3 linked regions of the Macaca mulatta genome follow. Each later gene encodes a partner of the first gene's protein in a complex. Links are inferred from orthologs where the notes say so. Each region holds a gene or a part of one and is shown on either strand. Other genes may lie near its edges.

Region 1 (10,433 bases):
CATAAAATGATAATCCAGAGCCCCTGGTCCTGAACCTCCTGGCCCTCTAACATCTTCAACTAGGATGCTATCCACTCTTCATTTCAGCATCTTCAATAATAGAAAACTCATTCTCTTTCTAAGGTGGCACCACTCCAAAGCTGGAGAAGTAAAAGCTCTTCCTTACGGTATCTTAAGAAAAAAGGGTGTTTCAAAGGAGTGTGTAGAGGTTGAGTATGCAGACTGGCTGAGTTTGAGTCCTGGTTCTGCCACTCCCTGGTCACATGACAACCCCTGTATGCCTCAATTTCCATATGCACAATAATGATGATAATAATACTTACCTCACAGTGCTGTTGTGGGGACTAAATTAGTTGATACATGTAATCCACTTAAGAAATGTGCCAGACACAGCGTGGCTGCTATGTAAGCATTAGCTAATATTGTTATTATCCTAAACCATGGAGGAGCTCAAAGTAATGCCTGGAAGCACCCTGATATGTCTCGGAGACTAACACTGTCATATAGACAGCATATACTGAGAGTCATATCAAACCAGTTTTGTCATCATTTACTGATTAAATGGAATTATTTCATTTTACAGGTGAAGAAACCAAGTTTCAAAAAGGTGGGTTAAGCTCACCAGTCCAAGGTCACAAGGGCAGGTAAACGTATCCTACCTCCTTGTGGCAGGGGGAATTCAAACCCAGGTCTGTGTAATTCCTAAGCCCATCTTCATCATGGAGCCCCCCAGACTCCAAACTATCAGCAGCAGAACTCAACTGACTATGACCATACGGGAACTTCAGGCTCAATTTTCTGCCTGTGAGTTCCTGGTTGGCTTGCATAAACTGGAGTTAATACCACGCTACTTGAACCCAATTAGGCAGTAAGTCAGCCTGGAAAACATCATGCGACGTATTCCAAAGGTCAAAGTAAAAGCTGGCTTCCAAGGCAGTCTCTGCTGGACACTGCCATGAAAGTTAGTCTCTGCACAGATACCAGAGTTCAGCTCGTGAGGTGCTTAACCAGCACCTAAATACCGGCTTTTAAAAATTCTCAGAGACGCCAGCACCGGAGGACCCGACACGACGAATTGCCTGGCTCCTAAGTCAACAGCCGGAGGAAGGCGGTTTACTTTTTTCAAAAGCAAACCTTCATCCCTCTCTTTCGGTTTAGGACCTCATTACTATTGTAGCTGTCTTCCCCCAGGCAAAAATAAAAGGGCGAAGGAGCAGGTTAAGACCGAGGAGGGTTCCCCTAGCCTGCAGGGCGCTGCAACATCCACCTGAAACACGGAGCTCGACCTACCTTCCCGGAGAGCCCAGCCCGGGAGGGCGTTTCCCCAACGGATCGACAACTCTTCCCTCCCGGGGAAGAGGCTGCTGTCCTTGGCTTCAGTCAGGGCCACTACAGTCGCGTGCGCGACACCCTTCACCCCCGCCAAAAGAACCTCATGTTTAATGTTCCCCTTACTCTATCACTTCCGCCGAAAGAGCAAACACCAGAGCGAACGGTTAGTCCTTAAGGCCACATTTAACTACGTCTGAACGCCTGCAGGAGGAACAGCGAAACCCCGGAGAGGAGGGCGTGGGAGGCAGGGAGCGCGTGGGGGGGCACTTGCACAGAGGATCGTCGTCCTCCCGGCGCCGCGGCCGCCGTGACGCTCCAGCACAGCCTCAGGCCGCTGGCGCCGGGCGGAAACCCCCATCGGGGCTCAGAGCACAACTGGGGGTCCCCAATGCCGGCTCCCCCTGCCGCCTCCGCGCGGGAGGCCGTCGGGGCGATGGCGCAAGACTCCGCTCCCCCCGCCCCCCACAGCGACAACAGCCACGGTGACAAAATGGCAGCCCGGCGCCCGGCAGTCGTGCCACAGGCGCGCAGGGCCCTGGCGGCGGCTCCTGCCCCCCAGTAACGCCTGGGCGCCCTTCGGGCTCAGCCCCTGGCGGGCCTAGCCGTTAAAATAAATAAACAAACAAAAACAAATAATAAAAATAAAACCTGGAGCTCGAAACCAGCCCGGGAAGCCACAAGGCCGGCCCCGCGCGTACTGCACCCCCACCGCCCGCCTGCCCGCGCCCCGCGCCGCATGGAGCCCGGAGCCCGCATTCCGAGCCCCGCGCCCCGCGCCGGGGAGGAGGGGCGGGGCGTGCGGCGCGAGCCCCGGGAAACATGGCTGCTCGTCCTATTTCGGCGTCGCGGCATGGCCACCAGCTCCCGGAGCCCAGTTGGGAGAGGTGCCGAAGGTGGGTGTGTGGGGGGCCCGGGAGCAGCGCGGCGGGGAGGGGCGCAGGGGGCGCGCTCTGGGAGCCATTTGTCTTAAGAACGTTTAAAAAAATACAGTTCCTCCTCCCCCACCCCTTTTGTCCCTCTTTCGCTAGCTTTCTCCCCCACCCCCGCAAATGTGCAGAAAGTGCCCCCTCCTCCGCCACCCGCGCCCCACCCCGCCTCCAGGCAGGGGGCAGGCGTGTGGGCCGCGAGGCTGGGAGGCGAGGGGGCGAAGCGTGAGAAATCGCTCCCAGAACGGCGCGGTGCGCTCCCCTCCCCAACACACACACACACTCGGGGAAGTTTAAAGAGCCGGTTCGACCCGCTTTCCGGCTCGCTCCCGGGGGGCCGGCAGCGTCAGTCGGGTTCGCCAGGCCAGCCGCGCCCCCACACCCACCCGCGGCGACCCCGACCCCGCGCTCGGCGCCCTTCCCCCTCCGCGCAGGGGGCTTCCGGAAAGTACGCGGGAAGACCGCGGCCCCGACCCCCTCCCCCATCACCACACCCAGCCCCCAAACGCAAGGCGCCGGGTCCCGGCCAGGACGAAAGCGGCCGGAGAGAAGCAAACCAATGGCAAATAGTGCGGGGAAACTCCGGCCTCCTCCGGCGGCGCCCCCTACTCTCCCGCGACCGCCCCCTCCCCGCCCTGCGCGCCATAAGGCACTCGCACGTCTCCAGTCCACAGCTGCGTTAAGGCGGGGAGGGGGTAGACAAAAAGGATCTTGTTTTCAAAAGTCTCACTCAGGTTTGGGGGGAGGAACTAGGGAAAAGAGGAAGCGAGGCCTGTCTTCGCGGGGATTCGGGTTTAACGGGCTGGAGGAGCGACAGGCCAGCGCACGGTGCTGCCCAAACTCCCAACTCCGTGGAGCTCGGGCCACCGAGACTGGGGGCGTCCTCCCGCCAGCGCGTCCCCGGTCCCCCCGAGGGGCCAAGAGGGGAGTTGGCCGGGGTCTCCGCCCCAGAGCCGCCAACTCGCCGAAAACACTCAGGTTTGAAAGCGAGAGGGAGGCAGAAATAAAAACCAGCGTTCGAGTCACCCACCCTCACCTTCCCCCTCCTCGGGGGTGGGCTTTCGCTCGAGCCTGGCGATTCCCACCCGTGTAAGTTTCCTCCGGCTGTGCTCCCGCCGCTGCCCAATCAATAACGGCGGCTAGCGGGCAAACTCCCATCCTAGAGCTGCGTGTTTGCCATGCCCGCATAAACGTGGACCCAGCCAGTACCCACCACCGGCGCCAGCTCCGGGCAGCTCGCGTCCTGACAAAGTTTCCCGTGCCCATTTATTAAGCAGGCGCCGAATGGCTGCCGACGAGCCCAGCCCTGAGAAAGACGGGCCGGGGGTTCGAGCTGGGGGACACCAGGGCCCAAAGGCTGGCATCTTGGGGAGGCCGGAAGGAGCTGGGGCGAGGGGGGACCGGGACGTAGCCTTTGGGCAACTTGCACCAGCGATCACTGGAGGCAGGGAGGCGCGGGGATTATCTGTGCCTTTGCACGTTCGAAAATCCCTCCCCCTCCTTCTAATTTATCCTCCCTTCGGAAGGAAAGGAAGAAACATCAGCATCTGGCCCGAAGGTGGGGTGGAAAGAGTGAGGGAGAAAGAGGAGGAGAGGAAGGGAGGCAGAGAAAGGGAGGGAGGGAGAGAAAGGGCGCGTTCACGAACACTACAAAGTTACAAATATGGCTCCCCCGTCTCTCGCCTCATCACTGCAAAGAAATGAAGACGCACTTTAAACTCCAGCCATTCCCAACTCCGCTGCAGCCCCCTCCCCACGCGCTCTCCCCGGGGCCCTCGGCCCACATTTATCAGAAACTAAACCGGACTCGCGAAGCCCCAAACTTATTGTGTGTGCGAGCGAGCGAGCGAGAGAAAGGGAGGGGGGAGGCGCGGGAGGGGGGCGGAAGGGGGGATACATTTATAAAATGTAAAACCCCCTTTTTTTGTTGTTAAATTCAGGAGGCAGCCCCTCTCCTCCTCCTCCCTCGTTAATCTTCCCCCCAGACGGAGTCACGGGAGCAGCGATCTGCGAGGGTGATTTCGCCTCATTCTCTCCGACCCAAACGCGTGCGCCCGCCGGCCCCCGATGGGTGCACACTCGCACGCACACTCTCGCACCCACACTCGCACACGCGGGAGCACACGCACAGGTAGTCACACACCAAGGGCAGCGGCGGCGGCAGCCGGAACATGCTCGGATGGCATTGCAACCCCCCAGCCTTGCCAATTCGCTTGCAGTCCGACCCCCAAACCCGCACCTCCCGGGCGCCCCCCCCGAAAAAAGTGCCTCCCCCCAGCGCGCACACACACACACAAAGTAGGAGAATGGACCGACAGAGATATTTTTGGCAAATGCTCACATCAGAGGGCGTCCTGTTCCGCAGCTCTAAATGAATCCGTCTGCCCATCTCCATCTCTCGCGCTCTCTCTCTGCAGAGGCTCCCGCGCCGGCGGAATTCAATCAATAAACCCCGAACCCACGGCCGCGCGTTTTAGGACTTTGAAGGCTCAACCAGCTCCGCTCGGTTCTCGAGCCCCCAGCACCCGCGGCGCACACTAACCTGATCGCCGTGGAGGCGGGATCTGCGGCCCCGCGGACGAGCGGCAGCGGCCCGAGCCAATCGCCGCCGAGGGTCTCCGGGCAACAGCCAATGGCAGCGGCGGCGGGGGGGGAAGGGACCAATGGGCGGGCTGCGCAGCCGGCCAGGGAGGCTCGGCCATTTGGTTGTGGTGCCGGAGACGGACCCCTTTAGATTTCGGGGCGGCTGAGGAGCGCAGCGGCTGCTCTGTGGCTGAGTGAGGGGGGTGGGCGGAATGGCGGGGGAAGGGAAGGTGACTGTGCCTCGAGGGCCGAGCCGCCCGGCCTCGCCAGCCCGCCGCCGCCTCAGCGTTCGGCCGGGGGCGGGGCCGCAGGTGCGTTCTACGAGGGGGAGGGGCGCGGCCGGAGGGGTCGGGTCGGGGTCCCAGCCCGGCTGAGGGCTTCGCGAGGCGGCGCGACGGGGTTGCGGAAGGAGGCGGGAGGCTTGAGGTCTGGGGGCCGCGGGCTGCCCAGCGGGAGGGCAGATGAAAGGCCTGGAAGGAGGGGAGGGGTCAGGGTGCAATGCGGGGAGGGGCTCGTCGTGTCCCGGGTCCGGCGGCTAGCGCTGGGGAACGTGGCTGCCCCCGTCACCCCCGCCGCGGCCGCCCAGCCCGCGCCCCTCTTCCCCTCCGGCCTCGTCCCGGTCAGGCCGCCGCCGTCGCCACCCGCGTATACATAAGTCAGTAAAAGCAAGATGCTTCCACTTTTGGATGACTTACCGCGCGGTCGCGACCCTTCCCACGAAGAGGCTTTTCAGTTTGCTGTCACATAAGGTCAGCTTGGAAGAAGTGATCACCAGGAGACACCCAAGATCTTGTTTAGGCAATAAAGGAATGAAGACCATGGATTAAGAACTGTTGCTGGATATACAGAATATTAAAAGGTGGAAAAGGAAGGTGCTCATAACTCCTGGTTTTCTGGACGAAACATAATTTATGGGCTTTATAGACCTAGTGAAAGAGAACGGCGCACGGTTTATTCTAATCGTCCACCTGAGTCATTTGGTTCGGTTTGGGTTGCCAAGGAGGCTCTAACTGGAGCACTTTCTCCAGGTTTTTCGGCGTGCTTGCCTTGGGTATTTTTGAATCACATTAAGTTTTAAGAGACCCTAAAGCCCTGATGCCCACTGGGTTACCGACTTATGGCACTAAGTTGGCTGCCTGTGGCTGTTAATAAACCACGGGGATTGTTGTCAACAAGGACAGATACATCCTTACCTTTCCACACAACTGTATTTTAGTGTCTGTTTCTACATGTCTGCACTCTTCCCCACACACCTCAAGATAGTTTTTCCGGATACATTGTGTTTATTTTTCAGGAACACGGGTTCAAAGGAGAGAGAAACCAGTATGTATGTTGCAAAGTTAAAATACTGTTACATAATAGCAATACAGTTTCATTCTTAGACATATAAAGTTGAGGAGGAAGTAAAAAGTGACAATGTAAATAAAACACATACAGAATGCTTACACTGGGGAAGAAGCTGTAGTAACTTTAATGTTGCAACCTGATGGATTGCAAGTGTAAAGCCCTGCAACTAAGGATTTGACTGAGGAAATTCTTTCAGATAAAATGATAAATGGAATTTGAAGTCTGATGTTTACTCTGAGTAGGTGGGAAATGCAACATAAAAGTTAGAAGTCATTGTTTTATTTCATCTGGGTATAAATAGTATAATTTATTTAACTTGTTGACTTACCTGTCATCCTCAGATTTTGTTAATCTTACTGAAGCCTATTTGTATAGTTGGAATTTATTCTAAGTTTTATTGGCTTCTTTGTAATACACGAGAAACCCCAAATTACCGATTTATGCCATTGAGACAGTTGTTGTTTCTGGAGATGGTGTTTAGGGTTGTATTCAAACAGAACCTTATCAAAACAGGTCAATATAGTGTGTATGATCTGTGTAACACAGGAGTCCTGAAGTTTGTGTTCTCTTTGATGGTAAATGTTCATCTTCTATTTAAAAGTTGAACCACAGTTAAGACCACGCTGCTAGCAATTCGATATGAGACAGTGTCTTTCCAGAGGAGTAATCCCTTAAAAACCAACCAATCAAATGCAGAGATATGCCCCATCCAACTCTGCTAAATAGAAGCAAATAGCTCACTTTATTGTACAAAGACTCAAGAGGAAGACTTAGAAGCCCACCCCCTCTCCCATTAAAGAGAAAGTACAGAAACAAATTAAAGTTAGAGTTGAAAAAATCATGACCTGATTACTAAATCACAACATTAAATGTGACAGTTGTTTTTAGAAGCATCTTACTTTTATGCATTTTGATAACTTTTGTATTAATGTTAGAAAATTGAAAGAAGGCTTCACTGGATGTCAGTCATTACAGAGACTGAAATATCTAAAAGTATATGTATAACCAATTGAATACTTTCCGCTTTCCTTACATACTTGAAATAAGAAATTTTCTTTTGCTTTTACAAATACATCTATTTGTAAGAAAATTTTCATATGATTTTGCTTTTTTATTATTAAAAAAAGGAATATAGCTCAGCCAAAGCGGAGCTGTATTTGCCCCACACAACATGACCAAATACAAAAAAACAAAACAAAACAAAACAAAAAAACACTGCTCTTACATACCTTATTTTACAAAGTTGTTTTTTAAATTACATTTTATTGTATATTATAGGAGTAAATAAGTGTTCTAAGTGGCAATGCAGAAAATATAGAAAGAAAAGAAATCCTATATCAAGGAATCTTGGCTGAATTTTGAAACGGAGTTGGGAACAGGTAAGAGTTCCTATCTACTGTGTAATTCTACATTAGGAATTGTGTTTGAAAGATGTAGAATCTCTAACCTCTGAAACTAGGTTTGAGTCACACTGAGAAAAATAAATGAGATACAATTCAAAGTTTGACCCCCTAGAGAGAGAGATGGCCAAGGGAGGAAAGATCTTCCCGCCTTCTAGAATATCCTCCATCAAGAACCATTCCAAATAAATAAGCAGCCTATTTTGTTCTTAAAGACCTGTGATCTATGAGTATCTTTAGGCTCTTTTGAAATGTGTAGGAGAGTACTGTTTTACAAATAACCATATCGTTACTATTGCCATTTTATTAGGTTGGTGCAAAAGTAATTACCATTTTAAAAAAAGGCAAAACCACAATTACTTTTGCACCAATAGCACATTTGCCCTTGTTTGGTCTCTGAAGATGGAGACCTTTTGGTTAACATCCTTTTTATGAGTCAAGCTAATATACCCACAGCTCAGCTTTTTGTTTTTGAACTTGAATCACATCACTGGCAATCGGCCATAGTACTCTTACCTACATCATGGTTCTGCTGCTTGAACCCCAAAGACAATGACATGGAAAAACTCCAGCTTAATTATATTCTCTTTTGTTTGTATATGTAAATAGTTTTTAGGAATGTAGATTATTATTTTGAAATCTGTGGTAACAAATGTGAAAACTACTACATTTTTATTTGAATAGCAAAATAATGTTGAAGCCTGGGATCTAAAAAGTTTATTCCTTATTTTCTTTTGCTTAATAAAGTATTTGATAATTTAGAAAAAGGATTTTTTTTTTTTTTAATGATTGGGTAGTTACTTTATCAATGGGTTGGTCATGGACAAAAAGCACTGTTGGATGAAAACAGTCATATATGTGACTTTTAAAATTAATAAGCCAGGCATGGTGATGTGCCCCTGTAGGCCCAGCTACTTGGGAGGCTGAAGTGAAAGGATCGCTTGAGCCCAAGAGTTCAAGAACAGCTCAGACAACATAGCAAGACCTGTTTCTCTAAAGACAAAAAATAGTCAAAATCTTTACAAACAGCTTTAAGATGGTTGGTTTCTTTTAAAAAGGAAAAACAGGCCTGGGTGCGGTGGCTCACGCCTGCAATCCCAGCACTTTGGGAAGCTGCAGGCAGATTGCTTGAGCTCTGGAGTTCGAGACCAGCCTGGGGAACATAGTGAAACCATCTTTACCAAAAATGAAAAAAAAAGAAAAGAAATTAGCCAGGCATGGTGGCGTGCACCTGTAGTCCCAGCTACTCCAGAGGCTGAGGTGGGAGGATCACTTGAGCCTGGGAGGTGGAGGTTGCAGTGAGCCGAGGTCGCACTTCTGCACTCCAGCCTGGGCAACATAGCCAGACCCTGTCTCATAAAAAAAAAAAAAAAAATGCCAGGTGTGGTGGCTCACGCCTGTAATCCCAGTACTTTGGGAGGCCAAGGCAGGTGTATCACCAGAGCTCAGGAGTTCAAGACCAGCCTGGCCAACATGGTAAAACCCCATCTCTACTAAAAATACAAAAAAAAAAAAAAAAAAAAAAGCCGGGCTTGGTGGCACATGCCTATAATCCCAGCTACTCGGGAGGCTGAGGCTGAGGTGGGAAAATTACTTGAACCTAGGAGGCAGAGGTTGCCATGTGCCAAGATTGCGCCATTGCACTCCAGCCTGGGCAACAAGAGCAAAACTCCATCTCAAAAAAAAAAAAAACAAAAAAAAACACTTGCACACTTGTTTGGAAGTCTCTAAAAATTTTGTGAATCAGTTTCTTAAATATATTAAAGACAATTTTGAAGTAGCAATGAGGGAAGTTTGTTTACCATTCATCAGGAAGAAAACCAGAGCTGTAAGCTCTTACTTTTAGTATTAAAATATGACTGTGAAGGAAAAAAATAAATGCCTTAAAGACAGATAATGGAATGAGGAGCTATAGAACAAAGTGACCTAAGGCAATTTTGGTTGTAAAATAGAAATACAATTAAGTTAGATTCTACTGATTTGTTTTAATCCATCTGGAGTTGAGGTTTACCTCTATGAAGAAAAGAATACTAAAATCTATTAAGATGTGAGGTAGAGATCAGACTTTTTAGGAACTTTTAATATTTTTGCTATTTGCAAATGGCATTTGTAACTTTCATATACATAGTAAAATTATGTGTACAATAATTAAATCCTCTTAGATTCTCTGCTTTGTAATGGCAATTGTTATTTGTACCTCTTAAGTAATGATCTATCTGTAAAACATTTTCTACAACGCCTCTTGAATTAGAAATCAATTTAATGCATTCTGAGAAACTAGTAAATTTTTAATGTATTTCTAGTTGAAATATTGGGTCCTTTCAGGCGAGAGTATATGTATACCCTAAACTTTCTTTGGAAGTTCTGGATCCTAGCAACTATAGTATAAAAACTTTGAATTCATTTGTACATGATGAAATGAGATAGCCATGATAGGTGTTAGAGGACTTTTACCCAGTGGAGGAACATGTTTCATGTTTTACTCTGCTGCGTTGGTCTTTTTTTTTTTTTTTTCCTTTCTTTTTGAGACAGGGTCTCACTGTCACCCAGGCTGGAGTGCAGTGATGCGATCATGGCTCACTGCAGCCTTGACTTCTTGGGCTCAAGCAATCCTCCTGCCTCAGTCTCCCAAGTAACTGGGGCCACAGGTATGTGCTAGCATACCTGGCTAATTTTTAAATTTTTATGGAGATGAGCTCTCACCATGTTGGCCAGGCTAGTCTCAAACTCCTGGGCTCAAGCGATCCTCCTGCCTGGGCCTTCCAAAGTGCTGGGATTACAGATGTGAGCCGTGCTGCCCAGCCTTGCATTGGTCTTATAACTCAATAATGTACGTGAAATTATT
Region 2 (9,939 bases), on another chromosome or scaffold:
ATTATAGGTGTGAGCCACCGCGCCCAGCTGTTTTTTATTTATTTATTTATTTTTTGAGACGAGTCTCTGTTGCCCAGGCTGGAGTACAGTGGCCGGATCTCAGCTCACTGCAAGCTCCGCCTCCTGGGTTTACACCATTCTCCTGCCTCAGCCTCCTGAGTAGCTGGGACTACAGGCGCCCGCCACGTCGCCTGGCTAGTTTTTTGTATTTTTTAGTAGAGACGGGGTTTCACTGGGTTAGCCAGGATGGTCTCAATCTCCTGACCTGGTGATCCGCCCGTCTTGGCCTCCCAAAGTGCTGGGATTACAGGCTTGAGCCACCGTGCCCAGCCCGCTTTTTATTTTTTAAAACCTTTTATCATCCAGCACAAAATGTCAGGCTAACAGTTTTTTTTTTGTTTTTTGTTTTTCTTTTTTTTTTTCGAGACAGATTCTCACTCTGTCTCCCAGGCTGGAATGCAGTGGCGCGATCTTGGCTCACTACAACCTCTACCTCCTGGGTTCAAGCAATTCTCCTGCCTCAGCCTCCTGAGTAGCTGGGATTACAGGCGTGCACCACCACAACCGGCTAATTTTTGTATTTTTAGTAGAGACGGGGTTTCGCCATGTTGGCCAGGCTGGTCTCAAACTCCTAAGCTCGTGATCCACCCACCTTGGCCTCCCAAAGTGTTGGGATTATAGGCATGAGTTACAGCGCCTGGCCGGCCATGATGACAGTTTTAATCCCAGCACTTTGAGAGGCCGAGGAGGGAAGATAGCTTGAGGCCAGGAGTTGGAAACCAGTTAGGTAACATAGTGAGACCCCTGTCTCTACAAAAATAAATGTGGTAGTGCATGCCTGTGGTTCCAGCTACTGGGGAGGCTGAGGTGGGAGAATCACTTCAGCCTGGGAGGTGGAGGCTGCAGTGAACTGTGATCACACTACTGCACTCCAACCTGGGCGACAGAGATCTCAAAAAATAAATTGAAAAAGAGAAGAATGAAGCTTGGCCTCTGCAAACACGGCAGGGTGGCTAGTAAGGGGCTCTGTCTGCACTTGGAAGTCAGGGTTTTTTTTTTTTTTTTTTTTTTTTTGAGACAGAGTTTTGCTCCTGTCTCCAGGCTGGTATGCAGTGGTGTGATCTCAGCTCACTGCAACCTCTGCCTCTCAGGTTCAAGCAATTCTCCTGCCTCAACCTCCCAAGTAGCTGGGATTACAGGCACCTGTCACCGTGCCTGGCTAATTTTTGTATTTTTAGTAGAGATAGGGTTTCACCATGTTGGCTAGTCTGGTCTCGAACTCCAGACCTCAGGTAATCCGCCCTCCTCGGCCTCCCAAAGTGCTGGGATTGTAGGCATGAGCCACCGCCCCCGCCTAGAAGTCAATTTTGGTGAACTTCCCAGCCCAGGCTTGCTTTCTCAAAGGGCAGGCCCTCTGACCTCCTGCCTCCAGGCCTCTGTGTCCTCCCCTTGGCTCTTGGCCCTTTCACCTGTAGAAGTGGCCGAGCAGGTCAGAGGTGGGGGACCCAGGGGTGTGTGTGACCCCTGGCACAGTGCTTGGCACACAGCAAGCTTGCAGGCAGAGGCAACTGTCCTTATCACTCAGGGGCCAGCCTCCCTGCCCTGGGGCTGTCGTGGAGTGCAGGGGAACACTAGGGGCCTCCTGTTCCGGCCACACTGGCCTCTACCCTCCTGGGGCTTCTCTCTCTCTTCACCCCGTGCTTCCTGAGCCATTTTACCTTCACTGTCTGCCTCTTACACTGGACTGTGGGCTCCCAGAGGCCGGGGCTGGCTGTCTTGCCCACTGTTAAGTTTTTTGACTCAAATCACAGTGCCTGACTGTGGCATGTGCCCTATACCCATCTCCTCATCACTTGGTTGTGAGGTGGACAAGATAGATGTATGTGTGTGGGGTGGGACTTGAGCTTCCTCCCATGCCTCTGAGGGTGGGACAAGCGGGGCAGACCCGGGGCAAGATGGTTATAGAGACTCACATATACCCCAGTTTACACACAAGGAAACAGATTGAAACAGGTGCAGGCCACCCAACAAGGAAGTAGCTGTATCTGTATTGCCCAGACCCCTTCTGGCAAGAGGGGCGTGCCCTGGGAAGGGGTGGAGTGTGGATGCTGGTCTCGGGGGAGGGTCGAGGGGCCCCAGGTCACATCCAGCTCTTTGGCAGGTTCGGAGCAACCTTGGCCGTTGGCCTGACCATCTTTGTGCTGTCTGTCGTCGCTATCATCATCTGCTTCACCTGCTCCTGCTGCTGCCTGTACAAGACGTGCCGCCGACCACGTCGTAAGTGTGCCTACCCTGCTCCACTGTGACCCCCTGGGATGGCAAGGGGAGCTGACCAGGCCCTGCTTTGGCTAAGCTGGAGGGATGGGTGGCAAGCCTGGCCCTAATACCTGGGGAGGTGGAGGAGGGTCCTCACTGGAATTCTCTTTGCAGCGGTTGTCACCACCACCACATCCACCACTGTGGTGCATGCCCCTTATCCTCAGCCTCCAAGTGTGCCGCCCAGCTACCCTGGACCAAGCTACCAGGGCTACCACACCATGCCACCTCAGCCAGGGATGCCAGCAGCACCCTACCCAATGCAGTACCCACCACCTTACCCGGCCCAACCCATGGGCCCGCCGGCCTACCACGAGACCCTGGCTGGTGAGTGCCCCTGCTGACTCTAGCCCTGCCCAACTCCCTGAGTATCTGCCAGCATCCCTCGGGCACCCATCCCAGAGTACATCACTGAATAGGCCTCTGCCCCTTTCTGCTCGCCTGCCACTCATACGGCAGCCCACCATGCTCACAGCCAACCAGGATCCTCTCTGCTTTCAGGAGGAGCAGCCGCGCCCTACCCTGCCAGCCAGCCTCCTTACAACCCGGCCTACGTGGATGCCCCGAAGGCGGCCCTCTGAGTGTTCTCCGACCTCTCTGGCTGCCACTTGGTTATGTTGTGTGTGAGTGGTGTGCAGGCACGGTTCCTTATGTCCCAGCCGTGCTGTGTGTGTCCTGCCTGTATATGTGGCTTCCTCTGATGCTGACGAGGTGGGGAATGATCCTTGCCAGAGTGGGCTGGGACCAGACTTTGTTCTCTTCCTCACCTGAAATTATGCTTCCTAAAATCTCAAGCCAAACTCAAAGAATGGGGTGGTGGGGGCACCCTGTGAGGTCGCCCCTGAGAGGTGGGGGGGTTCTCCAGGGCACATCTGGAGTTCTTCTCCAGCTTACCCTAGGGTGACCAAGTATGGCCTGTCGCACCAGGGTGGCGCAGCTTTCTGTATGATGCAGATGTGTCCTGGTTTTGGCAGTGTAGCCAGCTGCTGCTTGAGGTGATGCAGGCGAAGCTTGGGATCTGACCAAGTTGGGCTTTGATTCTTTAGGCAGATGTCCCATTGTTCCCTGGAGCCTGTGTCGTGCCTGTTGGGGGTCAGGCAGCCTCCTGATGCCAGAACACCTCAGGCAGAGCCCTTCTCACCTGAGAGTTGTCTGCCTGGACTGTCCCCTGTCCCTGCATCTTCCCTGGGACCACCCGGAGGGCCACATCCACACACAGCCTAGCTGCCCACAGGGAGCTCTGCTGCCCTTGCTGGCCCTGCCCTTCCCACAGGTGAGCAGGGCTCCTGTCCACCAGCACACTCAGGTCTCTTCCCTGCCGTGTTTTCATTTTATTTTAGCCAAACATTTTGCCTGTTTTCTGTTTTAAACATGATAGTTGATATGAGACTGAAACCCCAGGATAGTGGAGGGAAATTGGCTCAGAGGAGACGGACAACCTGGCAACTGTGAGTCCCTGCTTTCCCCGACACCAGCCTCATGGAATATGCAACCCTGGTACCCCAGTCCAGGGTGTTCTGGCAGCAGGGACACCTGGGCCAAGGGGCCATCTGGACCAAAGGTGGGGTGTGGGGCCCTGGATGGCAGCTCTGGCCCAGACATGAATACCTCGGTGTTCCTCCTCCATTACTGTTTCACCAGAGCTGTCTTAGCTTCAAATCTGTTGTGTTTCTGAGTCTGGGGTCTGTACTCTTGTTTATAATAAATGCAATCGTTTGGAGCTGCTGTCCCCTTTCTTCCTGGCTGCTGGGATTGGGATCAGGCTGTACTGTTTCCATCAACCATTCGGGCTTCTCGTGTTTTCCCTACTTTTATTGAGCTCAGATAGTTGATCATCCTGCTAGGGAAAGTGAGGGACAAACACTATGCCCTCCTCCCCAGGTCCCTGAGTGTGGGCAGAGGTCTGGACTGCCAAGAAGGGTAGGAGCCAAGTGACCACTCAGTGCTGGAGGACGGGGGGGGTCTTTATTCTTCAGATTTTCCTTCTTGGCCTATTCCCCAGGTGCAGCCAGGGATAGTCCATACAGTGTGGCCACTGCCAAGGTCAGGACGGCCAGTAGACCCAGTGGTGCCAGCAGCCCCTCCCTGGGTAGGGCTCCAGGGTCCTTCATTGGAGGAAGATCCTTGGGTCTCCTTCTCTCTCCAAGGCTGGGACTAGTGTTCCTGGTTGTGGCCAGGTGTGCAGGGGCTGTGACAGCAGATGGTCTTGGCTTGGTCCCAGCAGAGGCTGTGACCCCATACATGGGCCTGATGGTGCTGAAGGGCCTGGCGTGAGCATCTACCCACCGCAGCAGGGCCTGTGGTCTCCACTGACAGATGCTGAGCAGGGCCAGGACATCACCCTCAGCCGTGTGCGAGTCCGGAGGGGACTGCCCATACAGGCGTGTGTAGATGCTGCCTAGGCTGTAGCTCTTCCTTGGGCCGTGTTCTGAGGGGCTGTCTGCTCGCTCCACGGCCTTCAGCGCAGTGATGCTATCCACACAGAAGGCACCATCCAGAGCACTGGTGAGGCCCAGCATAGCCAGCTCTGCTTGGAGCAGGGGGAAGTCATAGCGGTCACCATTGTGTGCCACCAGGCACCAGGGCTGTGGCTGGCGCCGCAGGAAGGCTAGGAGCAGGTTGGCCAGGTTGTCATCGAAACATTGACGCCCATGCGCTGCCAGCACAGCTGTGCTCAGACCTGTGATCTCGCTGGCTGCAGAGCTGCAGGCTTTTCCCGGAGCCACGCACAGGGAGAGCTTGTCCACCACACGCGGTGGTGGAGGAACTGTGGGAGGTGGTCCCTGAGAGGTGGGGGGGCTCTCCAGGGCACATCTGTGGACAGCCAGCAGGCACAGCTCCGTGACCTTGGGCTGGGAGAAGGGCAAGCCAGTGGCCTCCATGTCGAAAAAGATGAGGGTCTGCATGGGCCCCGGGGGCAGGGCCTGCGAGCCCATGGTTGGGTAGGACCTGCCGCTGAGCCTGGGGAGGAGCATAGGGTGGGTGTGTGAGTGCCCAGTGTTAAGATCCGAAGGGGAGGGAGTGGGGTAGGGGGTGGGCAGAAGCACATCTCAGGCCTTCCCTGCACAATCCTGCCCTGTCTGTGAGCTCCAGGGCCCATTTTCAGGCAGGAAGTTGGAGAGGGTGGGGTGGTTTCCTTAGTGGGACCAGCACATTCGACTGTCTGAGAGGGCTCCCTCTTCACATGACTTGGCCCCTCCCCTAGTGCCCCCTTAGTCTGGGGTCGGGGAACCCATGGCCCTCCTGCCCTGCGCCATCCCCTTGGGGAGCCACACTTACCGTAGCAGGCAGGCAGGCAGGCAGTAGTGACTTTGCTGCACACTCTCCCGCGGCTCTCGCTGGCAGCAGTGGCGGGAAGTGAAACTTGGTATGGGCCCGCCTACAGCCCCACGTGAGCCAGGCCCGCCCTGCTCGTCAGCCTGCCTGGTCTGTCCCTCTCGCCAACATCCGTCCCCCCACCCCCACTTCCCCGCCCCCAGGGGACCCCAGAGGCCTTCTGAGATCCACGGCTGTGGCCTGATGGTGGCACAATGCACCGGGCCATCACACCAATGACAGGCAGCTGGAAGGACCAGGGCAGTGGCGCCAGACCAGCTCCCGGTGTTACACACTGCTGGGAGCTCCTGCTGCAGCCCTTTCGTGCCCACCTGTGGGTCCCACTTTTCCAGGCTTTCCTGGTTTAGGCCTGGGCCAAGAGCCACCTCCTTCCCTGCCACACAATGGTTTCTTCCCATGGCCCCAGCCCAAAGCAATGACTCAGGACAATTCCACAGGCAAGGCAGGGCTCCTTCCTCAAGGCAGATCGGTTACCATGGGGACTGGGGATCAGCAGCAGCCAGGGACAGGAAGAAGGATCCCAGCCACTCAAGGTCCCGTCCCGGTCCCGCTCCACCCCTCCCACTCCGCCAAAGAGATTAGACTCAGGAAACAAGGCCAGCCGGTTCTCTGGGCAGTTCCTGCTGGTCACTGCTTTAATCAGTTGATGTGGTAAGGAAAGGAATGGTGCTGGTGCCACCATGTGGCTGGACACTCAGGGCCTCAGCCACACTCCAACTCGGGGTCGTCCACATCGGTTTCCGCGGCACAGAGGTCATCCAGGGCTGCCTCTGAGACAAAAAGGAGAGGTTCTTGGTGAGGGCCCAAAGGTGCCAGGGCCTAGGGCGGGTCCCACCTCTCCTCCCCCAACGCCCGCAGGAACTAACCAGTCCCTTCCAGACCCAGGCCTTGCTCCCTCAGCTACTGCAAACAAAGTGATACAAAAGCAATTCAGACACAGGTATTTCTGGAAAAACTGTGGCTCTGCCAGGCACATTCAACAGATAGGAGCAAAAGGCAGCCCAATATGCTTGGAGAAGAACTGGGGCAGAAGATAAAAGAAAATGACCCCAGTGCCGGAACAGGCTGTAATGGGCAGGGGCCTGCTGAGGGGATGCCCAGGAATATGAGTTGTTGGGGAACCTCAGGGAGAAGCCGTGGGGGCTGGGCGGGAGGGCCTCTGGCAGGCTCACCTTCACAGTCGGTCACGTCAGGAAGCCCGCGGATGAGCATGCTGACCCCCGGCATCACCTGGTCATACTGATGCAGGACCTCCACGCAGTGCATTATGAAGAGCTTGTCCTTCTGGGACAGGCCGTGCAGCAGCAGCACCGTGTCCCGCAGACAGCGCACTGTCCGCCTCTGCTGGTCAGTCCTTGGGGGCCCACCTGCCCTCCGCACTGTCAGCCACTGTCTATGCAACATCACCGTGAGCGCTCTGACCACCTGGGAGAGAGGGGGCACAGACTGTCTGGTGCCACCATGGCCTGCACCCTAACAATCCATTCAGCCTAGCCACCTCAGGTGAGGGGGTTTGCAGTGGGGTCTACAGTCCTTGCACAGAGTCCCCTTACCACCCACAGAGCTGCCAGCTGTTGGCCCCTGCCTACTCACCTCTACATTACACTGGCAGTTGGAGCCAGTGACTAGGGGCAAGGGGCTCTGCACACCAAGCTTAGCCAGGAGCCACACCACCTAGAACAAGAACAGATCAGCTCCATCGTGGGCAGAAGAAGACCAGTCCCTGTGAGGGCTTTCTCAAGCTTCTGTAAGAGTTCACTTACTTCAGCAACTGCTTGTCTGCACAAATGGGGTCCAAGAAGTGGTGTGGGACCTTCCCAGGGCAGACCCAGGACGAGCACCCATGTCTCACCAGCAACCCACCTGCCTCCAGCCCCCCATCCTGCCCCCAAGCCCCAAAGCCAGGACAGGTTCAGTCATCAGGCAACTCTGCCAATTCCTGTCTGCATTGCATCTGTGTAGTGCACAGCCCCCAAACTGAGTTTACCTCTTTAGCTGCTTGATATACTCGTTACTAAAATGAACTAAAGCTCCTTTTCTCCCCAGTAGAAAGAGGAGATTCTGTCGGTTCTTAGGATGGGGTGGGGACAGTGTCCAGAAGGGGCTCTGGAGTTTTTACCTCTTGTTCCAGCTGGAGCCATTGTGTCTCTGAGGCCACTCTGTCAGGCCGTGATGTGATGTACATGTACAGCAGCAGCAGGAGGCAGTCTTCTGAAAAGGACAGTGCACCTCTCACTCAGGGTGCCCTTTCTCATGAAGAGCCTGGGCTACATGCTGCAGAAGCCCTCCGAGGCCCTTGACCCTGTCCCCACCCCAACACTTCCCTTGATCTGCAGGAGCAGTCCAGACGCCCGCCCCACCCTGCTTTACCCGAGTGGGAACAGAGCTGAGGTGCCAACTGGTCGTGGTCCGCAAGGAGGGAGAGGAGCTCAACAGCCAGCACCACGCCAGGCAGGGGTGTCTCTGGGCTGAGGCACTTTGGCAGCACTTGGAACACACACTGGAACCTAAAAGACAAGGACCCAGAGAGAAGTGACACTCCCCAACCACAGCTTCATAACCTACCCTCACATTCCACTAGAGGTAACAGAAAATTGAGCAAGGCAATACGAACAGGTGAGTTGGTTCAGCCAGACTTGGGTTTCAGTGCTGGCCTGACCTCCACTTACTTACTATGAAACTTGTTTCATGTGAACAAGCAGGCACTTCCACTGCAAGATGCTGCAGCTGAGAGGACAGGCCCTCATCTGGCATAGCACTGCCCAGGAAGTGGGATGACCTCCTGGACCTGGGATGCCTGGCTTCCATATGCTCCCAAACAGGGATGCAGGTCCTAACTTAGGTGGGAGAGAAATGTTCTGTGCCCATAGAAGGATCGGCCAGGGCTCCACAAGTGATAAACATGGCCTTGGCTATAGTTGGATCTTATGAGACCTCTTGCAGGGCAAGAAAAACCATTTTCTCTACTTGTTAGAAAACGTATCTGCTGCCAGTAGGAGAATGTGCCTACTGTGGGGTGTGCAGGAGGGAGGAGTTCTGGGCACACTGCCACAGGTCTCAGGGGCAAAAGGAAAGCTATTACCAAGAAACCAAGCCCCAAGGCAACTGCTGCTGTTTGCTAAACCCACATAGCCTGGAGAAGCACGGTGGACTGGCCTGGTGGGTGGAGAGAAGAGCAATTCTGAAACACCCTGTGGGGACTGGCCAGCTGTGTACCCCTTCAGACATCTGCAGTTTCTTGAGCACAGAAGGTCAAGATATCCCTCAGTATGTCCTTAGGAAGCAAGGTCTCACTATGTGGGGTGAACTCACTTTAGAGCAAATCCTGCACAGCAGACAAAAAGTCCAATGCTTTTTAGTTGCCAGGGTGTGCAGACCTTTGCGGGAAGCTTCAATTTAACATGGTTGTTACCTGGTTTCATTACTGGGCTGTAAGAAGCCCAATATCTGCCACTTGCAGAAGGTATTGCAAGGAAAATCCACCTTTATATACAACACAGTGGTTTCCAAGTTATTTTTTGATAGTGTAATAACTTTTTCTTTTTTTTTTGAAATGGAGTCTTGCTCTGTGGCCCAGGCTAGAGTGCAGTGGCATGATCTCAGCTCACTGCAACCTCTGTCTCCAGGGTTCAAGTGATTCTCCTGCCTCAGCCTCCCAAGTAGCTGGGACTACAGGTGCCACTACACCCAGCTAATTTTTTGTGTTTTTAGTAGAGATGGGGTTTCACCGTGTTAGCCAGGATGGTCTCAATCTCCCGACCTCATGATCCACCCGCCTCGGCTTCCCAAAGTGCTGGGATTATAGGCGTGAGCCATCACGCCTGGCCCATAAGAACCTTTTTAAATGAAATTTTATGAAGAGCCCCAGTACATGAAATAGATAAGCACCCAGCCATGGCTATGTTTTGAATGTCCCTGTGGACAAGCTCAACAGGAATGGAATAATGGTGTGTCTACCACCAGCAAAAACATGGTTTCTGGGATTCTTTTTTTTGAGATAGGGTCTCACTCTGTCACCTAGGCTGGAGTGCAGTGGCATGGTCACAGCTCACTGCCACTATGCCTGGCTAATTAAAAAAAAAAAAAAATTGTAGAGATGGAGTCTCGCTTTGTTGCCCATGCTGGTCTCAAACTCCTGGGCTTAAGTGATCCTCCCACCTTGGCCTCCAAAAGTGCTGAGATTACAGGCAGGAGCCACTGTGCCCAGCCTGGGATTCATTCATTTAACAATTATTAAACAAATAACCAAGGCTGGGCCCAGTGGCTCACACCTATAATCCCAGCACT
Region 3 (10,265 bases), on another chromosome or scaffold:
TGGGAACAAATCACGTTAGCTAGAGAACAAACTATCTGCTTAACAGTTTCAACTCAATTTGGCTGTGTTCTCTCTTGTACTGCATATGTGCTTGTTCAAATCTAACAGGGTCCCATGGTTTTTCCAGCTCTGTGGTACTGCGCTGTATGACGCGTATCGCACACATTAGAGACACACACAAATGTGGAGACTGGCAGCCCAAAAGCCCCATCATTCAGCCACCAGTTATCACTTGCCAAAGTAAAATTATATGGCCACGTAATCATTCCGTGGTAGGGATCCAACCCTCGCCCTGTCCTTTCCTAGCCAAATGGAAGACTTTTGTCGTGAAGTCTCCTAACAGACACTGAGGTGACCCTCCCTTACCAGAATACTCTTTTAATTCTATTAATTGGTTCCAATTATCTTTTTGTTGGTTTTGTTGTGTGTGTGTTTTGAGACAGCGTCTCTCTGCCACCCAGGCTGTAGTGCAACGGCATGATCATAGCTCACTGCAGCCTCACACTCCCAGGATCAAGCAATCCTCTTGCCTCAGGTTCTCAGTAGCTAGGACTACAAGTGTGCACCACTACACCCGATTAACTGATTATCTTTTTTTGAGATGGGGTCTTGCTCTGTTACCCAGGATGGAGTGCAGTAGCTCGATCTCCATTCACTGCAACCTCCACCTCCCAAGTTCAAGCCATCCTCCCGCCTCAGCCTTCCTGGTAGCTGGGACTACAGGCATGGACCATCACACCCAGCTAAACTTTGTATTTTTAGTACAGATGGGGTTTCACCATGTTGGCAAGGCTGATCTCGAACTCCTGACCTCAGATGATCCGCCCACTTTGACCTCCCAAAATGCTGAGATTACAGGTGTGAGCCACCACACCAGGCCCTAACTGATGATCTTTAGTCTGCCAAGCAGATCATAGGCTTTTTTAAGGGCTTGGGGGTTGGGAACCTCAAGTTCTCCCTTGCTTCCTACCTCCACAGCAGATTTAAATAGCCCTTTAGAGTCATGGCCGCTATCCTTCCATCCATTCTTCACCAAACCCATATATCCTTAATAGGAAATTCAGGCCAGGCGCGGTGGCTCAAGCCTGTAATCCCAGCACTTTGGGAGGCCGAGACGGGCGGGATCACGAGGTCAGGAGATCGAGACCATCCTGGCTAACACGGTGAAACCCCGTCTCTACTTAAAAAATACAAAAAACTAGCCGGGCGAGGTGGTGGTCGCCTGTAGTCCCAGCTACTCGGGAGGCTGAGGCAGGAGAATGGCGTAAACCCGGGAGGCGGAGCTTGCAGTGAGCTGAGATCCGGCCACTGCACTCCAGCCTGGGTGACAGAGCCAGACTCCGTCTCAAAAAAAAAAAAAAAAAAAAAGGAAATTCAATGTAAAGGAGAAAATGTCTGCGCTCAGGGGTCAGAGAGACTCAAGTTAAAATCCCAGCGGCATCACTGTATGCTATCAGGCACATCACTGAACCTCTTCAAGCCTTAGGTTGCTCATCACTAACAACCACGAACACAGGAGGAAGTACTTCTCAAGGCTGGCATGAAGACTAAATCAGGAAACATATGTGCCCAGCATATGGTAAATGCCTGATCAACAACACATTCATTTCATGTTACCTTCTGCTGTGATCTATATGTGTCCCCAAAAGTTCCCATGTCGGAAATTTAATCCTTGATGCAACAATGTGGGGAGGTGGGGCCTAATGGGAGGTTTTAGGTCATGAGGGCTTCACCCTCATGAATAGATTAATGTCTTATCTCAGGAGTGGGTTTGTTATAAAATCAAGGTCAACCCCCTCTTGCTCTCTCTCTAGCTCTCTCTCACTCTTGCACTCTCTTGCCCTTCTATTCTGTTATGGCATGATGCAGCAAGAAAACCTACATTAGATGCCAGCTCCTAGAGCTTGGACACCACATTCTCCTCTCGGCATGAACATCAGTCTACCCTCTTTTACGTTAAAGCAGTTTTCTTTTATTTTTTTGGAGATGGAGCCTCCCAAAGTGCTGGGATTACAGGCGAGTCACCACACCAGCCCTAAAGCAATTTTTCTAAAACATCACATAGTAAGTAAATTGAAAGTCAAACTAAAATTTAAAATGTACTAGAAAGGTCCAAAATTGATGCCCTTTTAGGAAAACATACTATCCCCTATTTATTTGAGAATTGGAATTTTTTTTTTTTTTTTTTTTGAGACGGAGTCTCCCTGTTGCCCAGGCTGCGGTGTGGTGCAATCTCGGCTCACTGAAATCTCCGCCTCCTGGGTTCAAAAGCAATTCTTTTTTTTTTGGAGATGGGGTTTCGCTCTTGTTGCACAGGCTGGAGTGCAATGATGCGATCTCAGTCACTGCAACCTCCACCTCCCCAGTTCAAGCAATTCTCCTGTCTCAGTCTCCCGAGAAGCTGGGATTACAGGCGCATGCCACCAGGCCTGGCTAATTTTTGTATTTTTAGTAGAGACAGGGTTTCATCATATTAGTCAGGCTGGTCTCCAACTCCTGACCTCAGGTGATCCGCCCGCCTCGGCCTCCCAAAATGCTAGGATTACAGGCGTGAGCCACCGCACCTGGCCGGTTCAAGCAATTCTTTTTTTTTTTTTCCTTTTTTTTTTGAGACAGAGTCTCGCTCTGTCGCCCAGGCTGGAGTGCAGTGGCGCGATCTGGGCTTACTGCAAGCTCTGCCTCCCGGGTTCACACCATTCTCCTGCTTCAGCCTCCTGAGTAGCTGGGACTATAGGCGCCCGCCACCTCACCCGGCTAGTTTTTTGTATTCTTTTTAGTAGAGACGGGGTTTCACCGTGTTAGCCAGGATGGTCTTGATCTCCTGACCTCGTGATCCGCCCGTTTCGGCCTCCCAAAGTGCTGGGATTACAGGTTTGAGCCACTGCGCCCGGCCGGTTCAAGCAATTCTTATGTCTCAGCCTGCCGAGTAGCTGGGATTACAGGTGCCCGCCCTGACACCCAGCTAATTTTTGTATTTTTAGTAGAGATGGGGTTTCGTCACGTTGGCCAGGCTGGTCTTGAACTCCTGACCTCAAGTGACCAGCCCGCCTTGGCTTCCCAAAGTGCTGGGATTACAGGCATGAGCCACTGTGCCTCGCCCAGCCAAGAATTTGAATTCTTATCTCTAGAATGTGTTTAAAGAGGGGTTACTGGTCAATCAATCCCTTGCATTTATCAGAAGATTGCTTTGTAAGTAGCTTGCAGGTACATCTGCTCTCTGCTATTTCAGGAGAACCTCCCCAAAACCAAAACCATAGTTTTCCTCCACAAGCTCCTATGGTACCTAATAAATGCTAGACAATAAGCATTGATGAGTGTCTAGTAATTGCTGATGGAAGATTTTCTTGCTAAAAACACAACCTGTCTCAAAGGGGGAAAAAAATCTCTCTAAAATTATCTGCTTAGGAAGCTCAAGACCAAGAACTCAAACATGCTCAGCTGAGTCAAAAATTACAGAGATGCAGTCATATGTGGAACTCTGCACTGCTTTTCCCATAGCAATGCACCTCATATTACAGAGACTATTTTGGAAAATCCTAAACGTAGCCAAACGCTAAGGCACTGAGGTGTTTCCAGGTCTCTAGATACTTGTGTCCACTCTGTCCACTCTACCATGAAGAAGTTTAAATAAGAAAGCCGGGGAGAAACAGGTTAATCACAGTGTTCTCCCATACTATGAAGAAATCAAAATGGGAACAATGAAGTCCACTCACTTGCATGAATTTCAGACCAACAAGGCGGAATCCTTTCTGCTCAAAACGCTTGATAATCTCTCCGACAAGACCCCGCTGGACCCCATCTGGTTTGATGGCAATGAAGGTCCGCTCACAGTTGGCCATGGTCCTGGGGATAGGCAGGTAGAGGAATGAAACGGCGCTGAATCACTTGCCTACATCGTCATCCTCCTCAAGCGGATTATCCCATAAAGCTGGTTCAAATCTGTCAGGTCAGCTGCAGGTCTCCCTCTGCTAAAAACCCAGTTCCTCCCCAGTCCCCTCATCTATGAACAAATATGTCAATGTGGGAAAGGATCCAAAAGCAAGGACTATAATTTCTATCCCATTTGATTTATTTTATTTTTGTTTTGGTTTTTGTGGTTTTTTTAGAGATGGGGTTTCGCCATGTTGCCCAGGCTGGTCTCAAACTCCTGTCCTCAACTGATCCACCCACCTCAGCCTACCAAAGTGCTGGGATTATGGCCATAAGCCACCGCGCCCAGCCCCTTTTTTTTTTTTTGGTATGGGGTCTTGCTCTGTCGCCCAGGATGGAATGCAGTGGCGTGACCTTGGCTCACTGCAACCTCCACTTCCCAGGCAAGCTATTCTCCTACCTCAACCTCCTGAATAGCTGGGACTACAGGCGCGTGCCACCACGCCCAGCTAATTTTTGTATTTTTTTTTTTTTTTAGTAGAGATGGGGTTTCACTATGTTGGCCAGGCTGGTCTCCAACTCCTGACCTCAAGTAATCCACCGGCCTCAGCCCCCCAAAGTGCTGGGACTACAGGCATGAGCCCCGTGCCTGGCCACCATTTGATGTAATAAGCTTCTTTTAAGCATCTACTGTGTACCAAACACTGTGGTGGAACTAGGATACAGGAGGTAAAAACTATCTTTCTCAGTAATCAAGCTTGGGAGAAACTACACTGATACAAAGTTTTACTAATGTGAAAGTGATGTCTGGCACAAAGCAGTAAGAAATAATAGTTTGACTTAATGTCACATCCATAGCATTAGGGGTTTTAGAGAATATATCTTTACAACCCCCTTCGTTTTACAAATGAGGAAACAGGACCAGAGCACCAGAATGAAGGCCAAAACCCAGCATTCCCAACCCATTAATCCATTCTTGTAATGTATGCTACACTTTACAATGCAAAGAATATTTTGACTAGCCAATAAACGGTGGGGTGTGGGAGAGCTACAGACATTAGGAATACCTGATACGGGACATCATACTGAAAGGAAGCCTAGAGAGTACCTATTCTGTCCAGATCCCTCATTTTACAGAATACTGGCTCATGACGTACCCTGTATCACATCTTGAGATGGGAGGCCCCTCGCCTTGAAAGACAATCTCTGATGTACACAGCAGCTCCACCTATTGGCCCCACCTTCCTGTCCTTTAGTTAACCTCTTCTTACAGCATCTTAGCACCGTAGCCCAATTTTCTGTTTGTGTGTCTGCCTCCCCACCGGTCTCTGGCCTGCATACCAGGCTGATTTACTCCTGTGTAGGTCTATGGTACCTAGCCACAGGGCCTAGCAGTCAATAAGAGCAAAGAAAATCATTTATCATCACTCTGCAACTTCCAAAAAAAAAAGAGACAAAGCCCAAAGACTGCGGAGAATCGCCCGATGGGGTGCGGGGCAAGAATATTGTCCAGGAGAAAACAGGACTAAAGTGCCAGAAATAGATCCTAAAAATGTCCCTCCACATCGATCCCGGTGACACAACAGTAAGCACTCAGTCCTTGCTGAATGAATGACACACACGCCCGTCATTTATTCAGCAAGGCCTTATAGAACGCCAACTCCGTTCCCGGCACTGCTCTCGACAGAGGCAAATAAGGCACAGCCCTGTCGTCGCGGCCTGACGAGAAAGGCGGCCACCGACAAAGGAGAGTCCATGTGGCATGGGATGTGCGCCGACCGGTCTGCACTTGTCCACAGGCGCTCCCTGCCCCTCCTCCCATCCGATCCTCCTCGCCGCCTCTTAGAGCTGAACTGACCTCTTCACTAACTCCTCACCTAACTCTCTCCGGCGACTACACTCCTTTCCTTTCCCTCTCAGGATCCCGAACACCTCTTACCCTTCCAGCTGCTTAGGCTTGAACTCCGGCTGCAGCCGCCGGAACCCGAAACGCGCCGGGGACCCACGTGGTTCGCAGCACTCGCACGCACGGAACGCTTCGGCGCAGATCCGCTGCCGGAGAGCCCATTTTGCAGAACACCGCTCGCCCACGCTTCCTCTTGGGAGTAGGCAGTCATTCTAGGGAACAACTTTCTACTGTTTAACTTCCGGCGCTAGCTTTTTCAGACCTTTCCGGTTAGCTGCTTGCTTTTTTCCCTCCACCCCCGGGTTCTCTGACTCACTTCCTTTGTTCGCGAGCAAATTGGCTTCCCGAGAGGTGGCGCTCACACTTTGCATGACGTCCAAAAAGCGCCTGACCTAGAAGTAAACTTTTCGCTCCCGCTTTGTGTTTATTCACCTTTTCTAACCTGTCAAGCAAAAGATTTTATTGAATACCTACTATGTGGACGCATTATTCTAGGCCCTAGGGATACAACAGTATGCTTTCTTGGAGCTTCTGGGAGGGACAGGAGTATAGGAAAACAAGAAACAGATAAGCAAATTAATATGTAATAGATCTCATTATGTAAGTGCTGTGAAGAAAAGGCCAGAGAAATCTCTGAGGAAGTGATAATAGAATGGACCTGCATGAAGTGAGCGAGCCAGCCCAGTGATTCCCTGAGAGCCAAGTATTACAGTGGATATCGAGTGGTAGAAAATGCCGTTAGAATAGAGCCAAATCTTACGCTGTGAGATGCCAATACGGATTTTGCACAAGGCATCACATCATCACTGACATACTTTTTCAAAAAAACATTCCCACTGCTCTCAGGGGAGAGGTACAAAAATGGAATCAGGAGCCTTTTCAACAAATGATGCTGGGTAAATTGGACAAATATAGACCCAAAGAACCTCAACCTAAACCTCACACCTTATACAAAATTCACTCAAAATGAACCATAGATTTAAACATAAAACAATAAATCACTGATGGGGAAAAAAAAAGAGTTAAAAAAAATTCTCAGGACCTAGGGCCAGGCAAATAGTTTTTAGACGACACCAAAAGACCAATCTATAAAAGGAAAAAGTTGATAAATTGGAACGTACTGAAATTTAAAACTTTTTTGGCCTAGCACGGTGGCTCACGCCCATAATCCCAGCACATTGGGAAGCGGCGGCGGGAGGATCACTTGAGCTCAGGAATTCGAGACCAGCCTGGGCAACATGGTGAAACCTCGTCTCTACTAAAAACACAAAAATTAGCAGGGCGTGGTTGCAGGCGCCTGTAGTCCCAGCTACTCGGGAGGCTGAGGCAGGAGAATCGCTTGAACCCGGGAGGCAGAGGTTGCAGTGAGTCGAGATTGCGCCAGGGCACTCCAGCCTGGGTGACAGAGCGAGACTCGGTCTCTAAAAAATAAATAAAATAAAATAAAATAAGTAAAATTTCATTATTCTCCTGTTTTGTTTTGTTTTGTTTTTTTTCTTTTTGAGACCGAGTCTCGCTCTGTCGCCCAGGCTGGAGCGCAGTAGCACGATGTCGGTTCAGTGCAAACTCCGCCATCCGGGTTCAAGCGATTCTGGTGACTCAGTAGCTGGGACTACAGGTGCCTGCCACCACGCCCAGCTTTTTTTTTTTTTTTTTTTTTTTTTTTTTTTAAGACGGAGACTCGCCCTGTCGCCCAGGCTGGAGTGCAGTGGTGCGATCTCAGCTCACTGCAACCTCCGCCCCCCGGGTTCAAGCGAATCTGCTGCCCCAGACTCCCTAGCAGCTGGGATTACAGGCGCCCACCACCACACCCGGCTAATTTTTGTATTTTTAGTAGAGACGGGGTTTCACCATGTTGGCCGGGTTGGTCTCAAACTCTTGACCTCGTGATCCGCCCACCTCGGCCTCCCAAAGTGCTGAGATTACAGGCATGAGGCCCCACACCCTGCCCTAATTTTTGTATTTTTAGTAGAGACAGGGTTTCGCTATGTCGGCCAGGCTGGTCTCGATCTCGTGACCTCAAGCGATCCATCTGCCTCAGCCTCCCAAAGTGCAGGGATTACAAGCATGAGCCACCGTGCTCGGCCTTTTATTTATTTATTTATTTATTTATTTATTTATTTATTTATTATTTATTGAGACGCAGTCTTGCTCTGTGGCCCACGCTGGATTGCCTTGGCAGATCTCAGCTCACTGCAACCTCTGCCTCCCGGGTTCAAGCCATTCTCCTGCCTCAGGCATGCACCACCACACCCGGCTAATTTTTGTATTTTTAGTAGAGACGGGGTTTCACCATGTTGGCCAGGCTGGTCTCAAACTCCTGACCTCAGGTGATCCATCCACCTAGGCCTCGCAGAGTGCTGGGATTACAGGTGGGAGTCACTGTGCCCTGCAGAAAAGAAATTTAAAACCTTTGCCCTGTGAAAGACCTTTTGAAGAGGACAAAACAACAAGCTAGAGTGGAAGAAAATATTTCCAAACCACATATCAGATAAAGGCCTTCTCTTCATTTGATGATTTGAATATTTGAAGAACTCTGAACACTCAACAGGTTAAAAAAATCCAATTAGGAAATAGGAAAAAGACATGAATAGACATTTCATTGAACAGGATATACAGAGGCAAGAAAGCACATGAAAAGATGTTCAACATCATTAGCCACCAGGGAAATTCAAATTAAAACCAAAATCAGATACTACTACCTGCTTACCAGAATGCTATGATGAAAAGTAGTGATACACCAAACGCTTAGGAGGTATAGAAACTGGATCCATATTACTGGTAGGAATGTAAAATTGTACAGCCCCTCTGAAAAAGTTTGATAGTTTCTTATAAAACTAAACATGTGCTTACCATATGACCCAGCCATTGCACTCTTGGGCGTTTATCCAACAGAAATGAAAACTTGGCTGGGCGCGGTGGCTCACGCCTGTAATCCCAACACTTTGGGAGGCCGAGGTGGGCGGATCACAAGGTCCGGAGTTTGAGACCAGCCTCGTCAATATGGTGAAACCCTGTCTCTACTAAAAATACAAAAATTAGCCAGGTGTGGTCGTGGGCGCCTGTAGTCCCAGCTACTCGGGAGGCTGAGGCAGGAGAATGGCATGAACCCGGGAGGCGGAGGTCGCAGTGAGCCAAGATCGCACCACTGCACTCCAGCCTGGGCGACAGAGCGAGACTCCGTTTCAAAAAAAAAAAAAAAGAAATGAAAACTTATGCTCTCTGTTCATACAAAAACCTGTGCACAAATGTTCATTGTAGCTTTATTTGTTATAACTGAAAACTGGAAGCAACCCAAATGTCTTTCATCATGTGAATGGTTAAACAAACTATGCTACATCCATACCCTGGAATGCTACTCAACGAAAGAAAAAAATAACAAACTATTAATACATGCAATATACGTAATTCCCTTGGATAGATTTCAAGGGACTTATGCTGACTGAAGAAAAGCCAATCATAAAAAGTTACATATTGTATTATTGCATTTATTTAACATTTGTGAAATATTAATAACATAAGTATAGACATGGAGGATAGACTAGTTTAGTGGTTGCCAGAAATTAGAGATAAGGGAATGGGCCAGGTATGGTGACTCTCACCTGTAATCCCACCACTTTGGAAGGCTGAGGTAAGAGGATCCCTTGAAGACAGGAGCTCAAGACCAGCCTGCACAGTATAATAAGATACTATCAGAGGCTTTTAAACCAGAGCAACTCCATCTTAAATAGGGGCTGGGTAAAAAGAGGCTTAGACCTACTGGGCTGCATTTCCAGGAGGCTAGGCATTCTTAGTCACAGGATGAGATAGAAGATCGACACAAGGGCTGGGCACGGTGGCTCATGCCTGTAATCCCAGCACTTTGGGAGGCCGAGGTGGGGGATTACCTGAGGTCAGGAGTTTGAGACCAACCTGGCGAACATGGCGAAACTCCGTCTCTACTAAAACTACAAAAATTAGCCTGGCGTGGTGGTGCACGCCTGTAGTCCCAGGTACTCGGGAGGCTGAGGCAGAAGAATAGCTTGAACGTGGGTGGTAGGGGTTGCAGTGAGCTGAGATCGCACCACTGCACTCCAGCCTGAGCAACAGAACAAACCTCCGCCTCAAAAAAAAAAAAAAAAAAAAAAAAAAAAAAAAAGCGGCCAGGCGTGGTGGCTCAAGCCTGTAATCCCAGCACTTTGGGAGGCTGAGACGGGTGGATCACGAGGTCAGGAGATCGAGACCATCCTAGCTAACACGGTGAAACCCCGTCTCTACTAAAAAAATACAAAAAACTAGCCAGGCGAGGTGGCGGGCACCTGTAGTCCCAGCTACTCGGGAGGCTGAGGCAGGAGAATGGCGTGAACCTGGGAGGCGGAGCTTGCAGTGAGCTGAGATCCAGCCACTGCACTCCAGGCTGGGCGACAGAGCCAGACTCCGTCTCAAAAAAATAAAAAAGATCAACATGAGACACAGATTACAAAGACCTTGGTGATAAAACAGTGGTAAA

What was found.
Region 2: ANP32A (region 1) and TREX1 share a complex: the UniProt entries of both Homo sapiens proteins name them as parts of the SET complex. The link is inferred for Macaca mulatta from reciprocal best matches to the Homo sapiens genes ANP32A and TREX1.
Region 3: ANP32A (region 1) and NME1 share a complex: the UniProt entries of both Homo sapiens proteins name them as parts of the SET complex. The link is inferred for Macaca mulatta from reciprocal best matches to the Homo sapiens genes ANP32A and NME1.

What each region holds. Positions count from the first base shown.
Region 1 is NC_133412.1:46,394,942-46,405,374, forward strand, and holds the start of ANP32A (acidic leucine-rich nuclear phosphoprotein 32 family member A), read right to left. Parts: upstream 4,800-10,433; 5' UTR 4,654-4,799; coding exon 4,600-4,653; intron 1-4,599. UniProt on the Homo sapiens protein: Multifunctional protein that is involved in the regulation of many processes including tumor suppression, apoptosis, cell cycle progression or transcription. Promotes apoptosis by favouring the activation of caspase-9/CASP9 and allowing apoptosome formation.
Region 2 is NC_133407.1:111,871,490-111,881,428, reverse strand, and holds TREX1 (three-prime repair exonuclease 1), read right to left. Parts: upstream 6,181-9,939; 5' UTR 6,051-6,180; coding exon 5,736-6,050; intron 5,683-5,735; exon of another isoform or gene 5,596-5,682; intron 5,278-5,595; exon of another isoform or gene 5,253-5,277; coding exon of another isoform or gene 5,241-5,252; coding exon 4,308-5,240; 3' UTR 4,263-4,307; downstream 1-4,262. Other genes in the region: SHISA5 (protein shisa-5), read left to right, coding at 2,162-2,277, 2,431-2,643, 2,818-2,897; ATRIP (ATR-interacting protein), read right to left, coding at 6,355-6,422, 6,825-7,077, 7,246-7,326, 7,772-7,863, 8,023-8,159. UniProt on the Homo sapiens protein: Major cellular 3'-to-5' DNA exonuclease which digests single-stranded DNA (ssDNA) and double-stranded DNA (dsDNA) with mismatched 3' termini. Prevents cell-intrinsic initiation of autoimmunity.
Region 3 is NC_133421.1:58,847,630-58,857,894, forward strand, and holds the start of NME1 (nucleoside diphosphate kinase A), read right to left. Parts: upstream 5,860-10,265; 5' UTR 5,810-5,859; exon of another isoform or gene 5,748-5,809; intron 3,844-5,747; 5' UTR 3,840-3,843; coding exon 3,714-3,839; intron 1-3,713. UniProt on the Homo sapiens protein: Major role in the synthesis of nucleoside triphosphates other than ATP. The ATP gamma phosphate is transferred to the NDP beta phosphate via a ping-pong mechanism, using a phosphorylated active-site intermediate.